Linked DNA regions of Oryctolagus cuniculus. The protein of the gene in region 3 binds, or shares a complex with, the protein of the main gene of each other region. Links are inferred from orthologs where the notes say so. Each region holds a gene or a part of one and is shown on either strand. Other genes may lie near its edges.

Region 1 (4,022 bases), on a different chromosome or scaffold from region 3:
CAAGATATGATCTAAAAAGATGTCAAATCTTTGAATCCTACTACTACATACTTGTAAACTTTGGGAATTTACTTTAGTAAATACAGATAACAAAGAGACAAATAAAAGTTACCAACCATCCTGCCACCCAGACACTATTATCATTACCAGTGAGGTGAAACTTGTTTTTTTCCCTTGTAAACCATAATACCACTGTTATTTTAATAAAAAAGGCTTCTACTATCATCTATAGTTTTACAATGACTATATCAAGAACACTTTTTCTTATCAATATGTATTCCTTTATAATATCATCGTATGACATACTACATTTATTTGCTCAATCCTCAAATGTTAGACATTTAAGGTATTACTGTCCCTCAAGTATTATAGATCAGTGTTGTGATGGACATCTTTGTAGCTGGCAACAATATCAGAAATGTCTAATCTGTCAGTTATAATCTTTAGGCGCTTGAAAGAGCTCAAAGTCATTTACTCCTGAACATTAAAATGTAATTTTAATGTAGTTTAATGTATAACTACACATGAAGCAACAAAGATGGCTTGCTTATGAATATATACACAGAAATTGCATTTAAAAATAATGCTAAGCACTGAGAAGATTTTGGGGGGGCGGTGAGAGAAGTAATTTTTTGTTCAACATTTACTTTAAGGGATAGTTTCTTCTCAATAAACTTTAAGTTCATTTATTTCAAAAATACACACCAAATTCAAGCATAAAATAGTTACATTAGTGGTACAGCTTGAAGATACCAAAATCCAATCTGCGTCATTAGCTTTAAAGGTCGTGTAAATGGCATATGAAAAGGAAGAGACATCTTCAGCTTTATGAGATCTATGTACGTACAGTTTAAAATAAACGTAGGCACTGGGCTTTTGCAATTTAAAGAGATGCCGAAAACTTGTCAACCTTTATATAAACCTTCCATACAACTTTTATGATTTTATATAATATAAATATAACCAAGCTTCCCACATACTATTCAGAATTTCTATAACTCACCCTGTTCTTCTTCAGGTTAGAAAGTTCATCCACAACGACTTTTTGTTCTTTAATCTACTGAAATAAAGAGAAACGCTTAAAACAGAATTTTAACTCTTAAAAACATGTTCAATTAGATGACGGCTTTAAAATTAGGCAGATGGCGTAAGAAGGTATCATGCGCTGATTGTCCAAATGGGCAGTCTGAGAAGATTCTTTCCAGTCTATGTGTGCACAGGTGGAGGGGGAAATGGGCATTAGACATCTAAATGTCACACAACCCACGGAGCCCAGCCAGTGGGTTTGATGTTGGCAACCGGCCTTCATGCCTGTGGCCACAGTTACTGAACAAGGCCTATACAAACAGACGATATGCACCAGAAGTAATACCAGTCTCTGACGATTTGTGTACTAAATGGTGCGGCTAGACAGTCCTTTTAACCAAGTAGTTCTAAATCCCCCTGTCTTGGCATCAATCTTCTTTGCACAGTGCTGGCTTCACTTTTCAATTTCAGGAGAGAACTCAAGTAAGTGCAAACTTTCTGATACTTTCTAGTAACTGGCTATTTTATGAACACGATCTATTACCTAACATCACCAGCGCCTCTAAAACCAGATGTAAGATTTTTACACTGCACCACACACTTGAGGGATCTGCCATAGGTCGGCAGCAGAGTGGGCTGTATTTTGCAAATTCACTCCCTGCCCCATGAGTCTCCCCCTTGTTGTCTCCAGAGCTGACACAGCTGCAGAAGGGACAGGATAAGGCTGACTTCCAAGGTTGAAACTATACCCTCCCCCTCTTTGAGACTTAACGCTTGTACCACAGTGCTTTCTTGTGCAGTTTAGGGATGTCAGGTCTGTATTTCACTTCCCACCAAAGAAGGAAGCTGTGATGCAGAGAGAACAGAGAGGTCTGTCCAAGACACCACTACTAGCTTGGAGCAGAACCAGTGAAGAATGCAGGACATTGAACTCCCTCCTCCACACGTTTAAAGGTTGCACCTGTTTCCGGCAGTTCAGGTCAGTATCAGAGTGGCTCCCCTCCCCCTCTTTCTCCGCAGATGAGTGACAATCAGATGTGCGAGGTTTAGGGCGGCCACTGCGGCTACAGCGGGGAACAGAGAAGGCAGCAGGTGGGCTAGGGAGCCCTTTGCGGGGGTCCGGGGCAGCCGATGAGGGCGGCTCGTTCAGGGACGCAGGAGCGTGCGTCCTCGGGACTAAAGTCACACTCGTACCGGAAGTGGGTTTCAGGTGTAGACCGACGTCAAGGATGAGCCCATGCCGCTGGCAGGGGTAACGGAAGGGGTGAGCTACAGATCTGGAAGGGCCGCGGAAACTCAGCCCACAAGACGCTTAGCGCGACTACTTCCAGGGAAGGGGAAGTGCCGACTGCTACCAACAGCAGAGCAGCGCAAGCCGAGGCCGTCTCCAGCGAAGCCCCGCGCTGCTCGCGGCCGGCCCTCTCTGGGTTGCCCCAGGCGCCGGGTCCTAAGCCCGGGAGGCCTGCTCGCTGCGTCCCACGCCCACCTTGTTGCAAAGATCCTCCTTGTGTAAGGTCCGGCCGCCGGCGGGGACCGGCACAGCGCTGTCCTCCGGGTGCACGCCCCGGCCGGGCATCTCCAACCAGCCGCAGACACGCAGGATTCACCAGAGCTCCCGAGAGTCCCACCACCGACCGCCCCAGCCACAGCGCCGGCAGCGTCACCTGCCTTGCAGAGGTCTCACCAACCTCCTCCGCGCGCTCACTCCAACGCCTGCGCAGTCCGGGCCTGACGCCCCCGCCCCCTCGCCAAGAGCGGTTCTACGCATGCGCACAAATGCCTAGAGCGCCAGTGTTTCGAGCCCGGTTGCGAAATCTAAGCAATTCATACGCCGACCCCCAGCGGATCGGAGGTAGAAACACTTTTGTGGGCTCTTGGACTACAAGTTACACGCGCCCCCTATTGGTGCAAATAAAGAACAGACGCGCAGTAGAAACACCAATTAGTTATTAACCAGTCAGATCCTGAACTAAAGCACAGATTTCATAGACACAATGTTGGCAACCGAACCCTACAGAATTGGAAAAGTTTTTGTTAATTTGTAACTAGGGTTTTCAGCTAAATACAATTTTATACGAATTTCAGGTGAATGAATACTTTTATTAGTGTACATCCTATGCAATATTTGTAATGTCTCATTCTTGCAAAAAAAAAAATGACCAAAAGTTGGAAATAGGCAAGAGATTACCTGATGTTCTTTCAGTGCTGTTCTAGGATTGACTTTCAATGAACTGAACTGTTTTACAACCTGGTGCAGGCAGGGGACAAAAGCAGAGGCAAACGTGTGGATTTTTGACTGGTAAAAATGCTAATAATTTCTACTAGGTCAATAAGATACTTCCAAGGTTATGATTTATTATCTGGAAGACATTAATCAGTTATGTATGTAACACTGAGGTCCTGTCTGACATTTCTTGACTGATAAATTCCTTGCTTTTCAAATGCTCTTTGAATTGATTTTCATATCTGACTGGTTTCCTCATTTACTAATGAGTTAAATAAAACCATGATATGTGTTTATTTTATATTTGCATATGAGACCACATATTTGAAAATTATATTCCAGTGTTGGGAATCACGATGTTCTATGGAGATGCTTAAGTGCACTTATGAGATGTAGACAAATTGTGTGACTTAATAGATGTACTTGGTGGCTTTTTTTAAGCCCTAGCATATCTTTCATCGGGTCTTCTAGTAAGAAAAGTTATATGAGGTCTGGACTGGTAAATTTTTATGTTTCTCCATGTATCTGTCTATCTGAAATTTAGAACAGGCTTCTTTATTTTTTTTTAATTTCTTTGACAGGTAGAATTATAGACAGTGAGAGAGACAGAGAAAAGGTCCTTCTTCTGTTGGTTAACTCCCCAAATGGCCACCATGGCCGGTGGTGTGCCAATCCGAAGCCAGGAGCCTTCTTCCTGGTCTCCCATGAGGGTGCAGGAGCCCAAGCACTTGGGCCATCCTCCACTGCCCTCCCAGGCCACAGCAGAGAGCTG
Region 2 (4,169 bases), on a different chromosome or scaffold from region 3:
GGTTCACTCTCCAATTGGCCGCAACGGCTGGAGCTGTGCTAATCCGAAGCCAGGAGCCTGGAGCTTCATCTGGGCCTCCCACGTGGGTGCAGGGGCCCAAGGACTTGGGCCATCTTTTGCTGCTTTCCCAGGCCATGGCAGAGAGCTGGATCAGAAGTGGAGCAGCTGGGTCTCGAACCAGCACCCATATGGGATGCCAGCACTTCAGGCCAGGGTGTTAACCCACTGCACCACAGCACCGGCCCCTCAAATAAATAAATCTTTTTTTTTTTTTTTTGGACAGGAAGAGTTAGACAGTGAGAGACACAGAAAAGTTTTCCTTTTTCCGTTGGTTTACCCCTCAATGGCCGCTAAGGACAGTGCATTACAGCCGGCGCACTGTGCCGATTCAAAGCCAGGAGCCAGGTACTTCTCCTGGTCTCCCATGTGGGTGCAGGGCCCAAGCACTTGGGCCATCCTCCACTGCACTCCCGGGCCACAGCAGAGAGCTGGACTGGAAGAGGGGCAACCGGGACAGAATCGCCGCCCCAACTGGGACTAGGACTAGAACTCGGGGTGCCGGCGCCACAGGCGGAGGATTAGCCTAGTGAGCCGCGGCTCCGGCCATAAATACATCTTAAAAAAAAAAAAGATCAGAAATGTGCTGGAGGTGTCACAACAGGCAGGAGACGCACGGGTTTGGAGCTCGTGAGAGAGAGAATACTGGACAGTTGCGGGGTGGACGCTGGGCTACACGGGGTCTTACAGGATGACTCTGGATTTTACTTCCGTGCCAGGAGAAGCAACGGGAAGGCTGTACACATTGCAGCGCCCTTCAAACAGAACACAAACTTCTTCCCTTGGCCCCTCGGCCCTTCATCACGGCGGGGTCTCTGCTCTCTCACCCGCCCTGCCACCCCCTGAACTCTGGCCTCACCTACAGAGCTCTGCTTCTGAGATACTCAGCACCCGCCCCACGTCCAGGCCCATTCTTAGCCGCCTCCCGACTTGCACCTACACGTCTTCTGCTGTGTTTCTCACCAGAGTACAAGGGCAGCGGCTGTCGCCTTGATGGACCCCAGCGCAGTCTGCCACAGCTGATGAGGAGCTGGCAGCCCGCCACTAAGGCGCCCAGCGGGAATCCCCGGCCAGGCTGTGTCAGCACCCACTAGGCTGCGTCCACATCTGCGGCCTCCCGCCTGGTCTCCACCGGGGGCACGATGAAGGCCTCTATGGAGGTTTCATCTAACTGATACGTCACAATTATACAAACTATGGGATAAACGCGTTTCCATTCGGTACAGGGCGGCGGGCAGGAAGTCTCCACTCACCAGAGCCGCTGAGCTCCTTCTGCAGGGCCCTCAGGCCCTCTCGGTTCTGATTCCTTTTGGTGTCCAGGTCCACAATCTGCAAAGCACAGGGACAGGGGCTCTCAGCTACCTCCTGCCCAAGCTGGCACATCCCGACAGACACGGGGCTGCTGACGTCTTTCCCCTCCTAAACACAACGCTGTGCCCAGGTGCCGCCCACCCCACAGGGGCTGGCAAATGTCTGCTAAGTGGGCGATTCTGCAGTAACTAAACCAGAATCACCAGGGGCATCTGACGCCTCCCCACACTCTGATTAAGCAGGCCTAAGCAGCTCGGGTGCTGGACAAAGTACTCCCGCTGACTCCGACTCGGTATGGTGAGAAAGCACCACGCTGGCTGCTAAGCAGTGAGGAGGCGGGGGTGCCCGGCTGGGCTGGCGAGCCGGAGCACAGCACACCGAGGACTCCTGCTGGGCACCGCGAGCTGGGCACTTTCATCTTCCTATGTGCTCCCCTGAACAACCGTCGGGAGCACCTGCCACTGTTCCTCTCGGCCCGCACGCCGGAGGCAGTACTCAGCCCGACTCCTCCCCAGGTCTTCCCTCTCTCGGTAAACACAGGACCAGCCACTCAAGCACTACCTGAAGACGACAGGGAGTCGCGGACCACTCAATTCCCACTTCCTCACCTGCCACTGCCTCCTGATCCATCCACTTCGCCAGCACCAAAACCTGGAGCGGCAAACGCCCCTCGCTGGTCTCCTGGCCTCCATCCTCGCCCTCCTATAATCCGCACAGCTGCGGGAATATCCTAAAGCCTAGGTCCAGCTTTTTACCCACCCCTTCCCCGTGAACTCTCTTTAGAAGCGTGGCACTTAAATCAGAACCCGACCCACGCCGCCTGGGCAGGCCTGCAGCGCCCTCAGCGACCAGGGCAGCCCCCGTGACCTCCTCTTTGCCCTTCTTCTCCCCTCGGGGCCTTGACCGGCCCAGCGCGGCCAGACTCGCGGCGAGGCGCGGGAACTGCCTTTTGAAACAGGTGCTCGAGAAACCGGCCCGAAGCGGTAATGGGTCAGGACCCGGAGGACACGCTACGGGGCAGACAGGGACGGAGCCAGACTGAACGCCCACTTAACGCCAGCCAGCGTCCGACTCACGTTACCACGGCCGCCCGCGCCTGTGGTGGCGGAGCTCAGGCCACCGGCCCGGGTCCATCCACGGGCCCCGCGCGCTGCCCTACGCGCTGGCCGCCGGGCCCCAGCGCCGCGGCCCGGCCTCCTACCTGCCGCTTGTCCGCCAGCACCTCCTCCGCGAGCTCCTCCACCTCCACCAGGTACTGAAGCACTCGCTCCGCCTCGGGGGACAGCATGGCACCCGGCAGCTACCACCGCAGTTCAAACGCCACCAGGTTCAAGCTCTGCTCCGGCGCCGATTCGACTCCTCCGCGCACGCGCCGTCCGGACAGGGCTTCCGGCGCGCCTGCGCAATCAAAAGAAGCACTGTGGCGCGCTGGCTCCGACGCACGCGCGTTGACGGAACGCCAGAGGCGGGGCCTCTCTTTGAGGAGCGCGTTTGGAGCGCCCCCTGCAGGCCCAAAGAACACAATCGGCAGAGAGCGCTGCCTCCTACCCTTCCCGGTCCTCCCCGCTACTAATATTTCCTATGCACCCACTAGATGCCAGGCAGTTGGCAGTGAATAAAGAAACTAGTGGGAAACACTGACAAATAATTATACGCCATGGTGGGTAGTGGTAAAGGCTTTGCAGAAGTGGAAGTCAAGCCCGTGTGGCAGTGGGACTTATGTTTAACCTGAGACACCGTCATCTTCCCGGTTATGAATAAAGAGGCCTAGGAATCCCCTCATGGTCTTCGGAGGAAGCAGTGAATTTTTTTTTGTTTGACCCGTGTTTGTTGAATCCCTCTGTTGGGTCCGATGTCCAGAGTTGCTGACCTAGACATAAAGGAGGGGCTGGAAACTATGGGCAGCGACCCTTGAAGCTCCAAGTCAGAAAAGAGGTCTGCATGCACTGGACAGTGAATTGGTGTTGGGTCATGGGATCCAGGAGGGCACCCAGAGGAGGCAGGTGGGTGCAAGTGGCTCCCAGCAGAACCAGGAGGCTCCCTAGGGCTCTTCATGCCCTTCCCCTTCATGGAATGGCTGGGAAATCAGGGAAGGAAGGACTTTGAAAAGTTAACAGCAGGGTCCGGCGTTGTGGCGTAGCAGGTAAAACTGCTGCCTGGAGTGCCGGCATCCCATATGGGCACTGGTTTGAGTCCTGGCTGCTCCACTTCCAACCCAGCTCTCTGGCCTGGGGAAGCAGAGGAAGATGGCCCAAGTCCTTGGGCCCCTGCACCTGCATGGGAGACCTGGAAGAAGCCGCTGGCTCCTGGCTTCAGATTGGCGCAGCTCCAGCCATTGCGACCAATTGGGGAGTGAACCATCAGATGGAAGACCTCTCTCTCTCTCTGTGTCTCTCCTTCTCTCTCTGTGTAACTGTGATTTTCAAATAAATAATAAATCAATCTCTTTAAAAAGCATTAACAGCAGACCTGATCTAGACTCTGACCTCCCTGCCTCCCTGAATCCAGTGTAACCTTTATTCAAGAAGCAGAGAGAGACAGAGGTAGGCAGACAGAGGTTCTCTCCCCAGATGCCTTAATGAGCCAGGGCTGGGTCAGGCCAAGGCGAGGAGCTGGGAGTTCACCCCAAGGACTTGAGCCGTCACTGCTGCCTTGCTTGGTCTGCATTAGCAGGAAGCTGGTGACTCCAGCCTTTTGTTCTTGGCTCTTGGCCCACCCTCTCGGCCCCTCTGCCTTTCCTGTATCCCACAGCAACCTTCATCCAGACAGCATCCTTACCGCCCAGCGTTGTAGCCTCAGAT
Region 3 (4,268 bases):
GAAACGAATTAAAATGTAAATTTATTCTGGTGCGAAAAACTTTTGAAAGCCATGCATACACGGAGTCTTCAAAAAGTTCATGGAAATTGCACACTATGAAGAAATTATAAATGGATTTCAAAAATTTTGAACCAAACCAATCTTATTTTTCTTTACGTTATTTATTTATTTTCATTTTATTTGAAAGTCAGACAGAGTGATCTTCTATCCTCTGGGATACTCCCCAAATGCTGGCAAAAGCAAGGACTAGGCCAGGCTGAAATAAGGAGTCCAGAACTTCATCTGAGTCTCTTACATATTTTACGGGACCCAACTATGTCAGTCATCATCTGCTGCCTCCCAGGGTATGCATTATCAGAAACCTGGATCCAAAGTGAAGGAGCTGGGACTCGAACCAGGCACTCCACCAACATGTGATGCTAGTGTTCCAAGCAGGGACTTAACCACGGTTTAATTCTATTTTCCCACAAACTTTTAAAAGAACTCTCATGTCAAAACAAAACAAAACAAAACAAAAAAAAAAAAAAACAAAAAAACTCAATGTTCCTTTTACAGTCACTTTTTCCTGAAGGCAAAGAAAAGCTTAACAAACAGGTTTGAGAATTTGGAAAGGACAACCGAACTTTTACACGCAAATTACTTGGGAAGACTTCACAAGTAAGGGTAAGGACTCTAGGCTCTAGATATGGGAATAGCATTTGGGGGTGCGAGCATCTGAATTCTCCTCTGGGCTCAGGCCAGGACTTGCTGGGTTAGATGCTAAAGATGCAAAATACAGGCATTCAATCACTTGAGTGCATACAAAGAAAAAGCTTGCCCATTTAATTAAACACACGGGATTATTCCTAAGTACAAAATAGCAGATCTTTTGCAAACGACTCAGGGACCCTCCATTTGACTAATAAAATGAGATGCTTACACATAGTATTGCCAATCTCTGCTTAGCTCCAGTCATAGATTGTGGGCCACAGAGCTGCAATCCTCAAAGAGGAATTCTAGAAAAATGCGTCTCCATTAAAAAGTTTTTAAATGCTCATACTCGTTCCCATCACCGGGAGTGAAACGCGAACCTCTCGGGTGAAGTCAAGATGTGACTTGCCTGTCCGCCTCCCAGGCTCTGCCTTTTAAATACTAAACGCTTCATTCCCTAGCTCTACCTCCACCTGTGCGTTCTACCTCCCCTGGAAACCGCCAAATCCACAAAAGCCGCGAACAGTCCCCACAGGCTCCACGCGCTGCTTGTGCAGTTTCCAATAGGCTAGTTCATTGCCAAAGGATCTCTGCTCCCACGCCCTACAGTCCTACCTGATCTCCTTTGATTCAGTAAAGCCCTGACCTTCTCTTTTTCCCCTTGGCGGGTCTTACTTCCTTTCAGGACCGCCCCTCCCCACCTGCTTATTTGGTTGGTCAGCGCGCTTGTTATACGTCATTCACCCGCGCCACCCGGAAGCCGCGGTTATACCAACCCGTTCTTATCGCCGGCGGCCCTCAGGTAAGGGCCGCATTTTGGTATCCCTGGGTGGCCGAGTCCTAGAGTTGGGAAGGGCAGAAGGCGGAACCCCCAGCAGGACCCGAACGTGCCCATTTCCCAACGTTGAGAGGGTGGAGATGACCTGCATGAGTCCATACTGAAGTGGTCAACGTGGTCTTCCCTCTGCTCATTCCCCAGGAGCCCATAATGGAGACGCCCCCTAAAGGGCGGGTGGTTGAGGCCACGGGAGAGAAAGTTCTGCGCTATGAGGCCTTCATCAGTGACGTGCTGCAGCGGGACTTGCGGTGAGTGACAGCGAGAGGGGCGGGGCCTTCAGAATAGTCCACGTGGTGGGTGGGGCGTTTAAAGTCGGGGGCCAAGCCTTCAGATTGGTGGGCGAGACGTTCGGAGCCCGTCACCACGCGCCATTCGAAGGGGAAAGGAGGAGCGACTTCCGGGGTGCGATTTGGCTAGGACGTGGCGTTCATAGGGCGTGTCTGCGCATGCGCGGTCCCGATGTTGCTTAATGGATTAAGGGCCAAATTCCAGATCCACAGTTCTGGGGTTTGAGTTCTGGCTCGGCTACCTGCCATCCGTGTAAACATCGCACCTTGCCCCTCCTTTCTGTGCCTTATAAATTTCTCAAATCAGTAAAATGAGGAAGTTTATTACGGAACCTTATTCATGCAGTGGTTGAGTTTAAAAAAGTGTGATGCCTGAAATATGTTAAAGGTTCAAGGAATGTGAAAAGCTATTATTACTAATCTGAGCAGGAAGTAAGGCTTAGACTATGAGCATCCCGAAAGGGGTGGAGGATTTTTCTAGGGTGAAGATGAGACATAGAGATTGACATTTGGGAGTAAAGTGTAATAATAGTAAGAGCTAACACGTATATAAAGCTTATCATTTGGAAGACATCATTCTAAGTGTCTTATAGTAAACATTCATTTAATCCCAGTGCCTCCGTGAGGTTAGAATGCCACTCCTATTTTGTAGATGAGAAAACTGCATATAGAACAGTTTACTTAGTGAAGTCACACCACTAGCAAAGGGTAGAACCCAGATTCAAACCCAGGCAGTCTGACCCAGTGTCCAGAATTTTAACTTCTACACTAAAAGGCCTACTTAGAGCATGGTAACTGGAGCACCTCAAAGAATCATGGTATAAGGTTTCCCAAGGAGGACAAAGCTGCCTGTTGGTCACCATTTGTACTTTTGTCCCATCAGAAAGGTGCTGGACCATCGAGACAAGGTATATGAGCAGCTGGCCAAATACCTTCAGCTAAGAAATGTCATTGAACGACTCCAGGTAGATATATCATGGTTGGGTACTGTTTTTTTTTTTTTTTTTCATTTGGTTTTGGTATGTGTGTGATGGGGGGAGCATGGGAAGGAACTGAGAAGAGAGACCCTAGACCAAAACCTGTCACCTGACCTACAAATTGACCACTGACCCCTACCTCTTTTTCCCTGGCCCCACAGGAAGCTAAGCAATCGGAGTTATATATGCAGGTGGATTTGGGCTGTAACTTCTTCGTTGACACAGTGGTGTGAGTGTCTACCCGCCCTTCTGAGCCCTTCCTTCATGCAAGATATTTTTTTTTTACCATCTTCTATGTACCAAACACTGTGCTAGATTTTACATACCTTAGGACATAACCTAAGTACTGGGAATATGACAAGAAATAAAATAGAATAAAGTCCCTGTCTTCCCAGAGTCTCAATTTGGGGAAGGGGAGGGAGTAAAAAATTAACTAAACTGTATGGTATGATAAACAGTAATAAGGATGTCTTCCACTTCCTCTAACCTCTCTCTCCTCAGCTCAGATACTTCACGCATCTATGTGGCCCTGGGATATGGTTTTTTCCTGGAATTAACACTGGCAGAAGCTCTCAAGTTCATTGATCGTAAGAGCTCACTCCTCACACAGTAAGTGCATTCTTGAAGGTAGTATCTAAAACACCCCACCATTTTTTTAAAGAATTTATTTATTTTATTTGAGAAGTAGAGTTACAGACAGTGAGAGGGAGAGATAGGGAGAAAGGTCTTCCTTCTGTTGGTTCACTCCCCAGATGGCTGCAACTGCTGGAGCTGCGCAGATCCAAAGCCAGAAACCAGGTGCTTCTTCCAGGTCTCCCACGTGGGTGCAGGGGCCCAAGCACTTGGGCCATCTTCTATTGCTTTCCCAGGCTATAGCAGAGAGCTGGATTGGAAGTGGAGCAACCGGGACTAGAACTGGTGCCTATATAAGATGCCGGCGCCACAGGTGGAGGATTGACCTGTGCCATTGCATTGGCCCCAACACCCCACCATTTTCAACACTCTTCTCCCTTAAGTTAGAGACCTACCTCCGTTCCTCCTCTGGGCTGTAGCTGAGGAAAGGGGATGCAAAGTTCAGCCCCAGGTATAGCACATAATAAACACTCCAGTAAGGGAGCTTTGTATCATTCATTCACACAAACATATTGGGCATCTTCTGTTTACCACACTCTGTGCTTGACAGTGGAGATGCCCCAGGGAACAAGACAGAAGAGTTTCTTGAGAGCTTACATTCTAGAGGGACTGTATTATTAGACCTAAATACAACTATGACCGGATCCATGAGGCCTCAGCCTGTAAATCAGTAACAGTAAAACAGGTTACCTCTAATTTAACATGTTCATTTTCCTGCTCATTGCTGTGCTCTTGCCACAGTGACTTGCACATGCTGCTTTAAATGTCCCAAGAATGCTCTCACCTCAGGGCAGATGCCATGGCTGTTTTCTCTGCTTGCAGTGCTCTTTCCCCAGTACTCCT

The links. The genes of interacting proteins can lie anywhere in the genome.
Region 1: UXT (region 3) and ASDURF share a complex: the UniProt entries of both Homo sapiens proteins name them as parts of the PAQosome complex. The link is inferred for Oryctolagus cuniculus from reciprocal best matches to the Homo sapiens genes UXT and ASDURF.
Region 2: UXT (region 3) and PDRG1 share a complex: the UniProt entries of both Homo sapiens proteins name them as parts of the PAQosome complex. The link is inferred for Oryctolagus cuniculus from reciprocal best matches to the Homo sapiens genes UXT and PDRG1.

The regions. Positions count from the first base shown.
Region 1 is NC_091434.1:50,691,753-50,695,774, forward strand, and holds the start of ASDURF (ASNSD1 upstream open reading frame protein), read right to left. Parts: upstream 2,801-4,022; 5' UTR 2,603-2,800; coding exon 2,513-2,602; intron 1,058-2,512; coding exon 1,004-1,057; intron 1-1,003.
Region 2 is NC_091442.1:25,802,949-25,807,117, reverse strand, and holds the start of PDRG1 (p53 and DNA damage-regulated protein 1), read right to left. Parts: upstream 2,801-4,169; 5' UTR 2,657-2,800; coding exon 2,570-2,656; intron 1,387-2,569; coding exon 1,311-1,386; intron 1-1,310. UniProt on the Homo sapiens protein: May play a role in chaperone-mediated protein folding.
Region 3 is NC_091453.1:33,164,713-33,168,980, reverse strand, and holds the start of UXT (protein UXT), read left to right. Parts: upstream 1-1,464; 5' UTR 1,465-1,492; exon of another isoform or gene 1,493-1,669; 5' UTR 1,670-1,678; coding exon 1,679-1,776; intron 1,777-2,698; coding exon 2,699-2,780; intron 2,781-2,953; coding exon 2,954-3,021; intron 3,022-3,293; coding exon 3,294-3,401; intron 3,402-4,268. UniProt on the Homo sapiens protein: Involved in gene transcription regulation. Acts in concert with the corepressor URI1 to regulate androgen receptor AR-mediated transcription. Together with URI1, associates with chromatin to the NKX3-1 promoter region.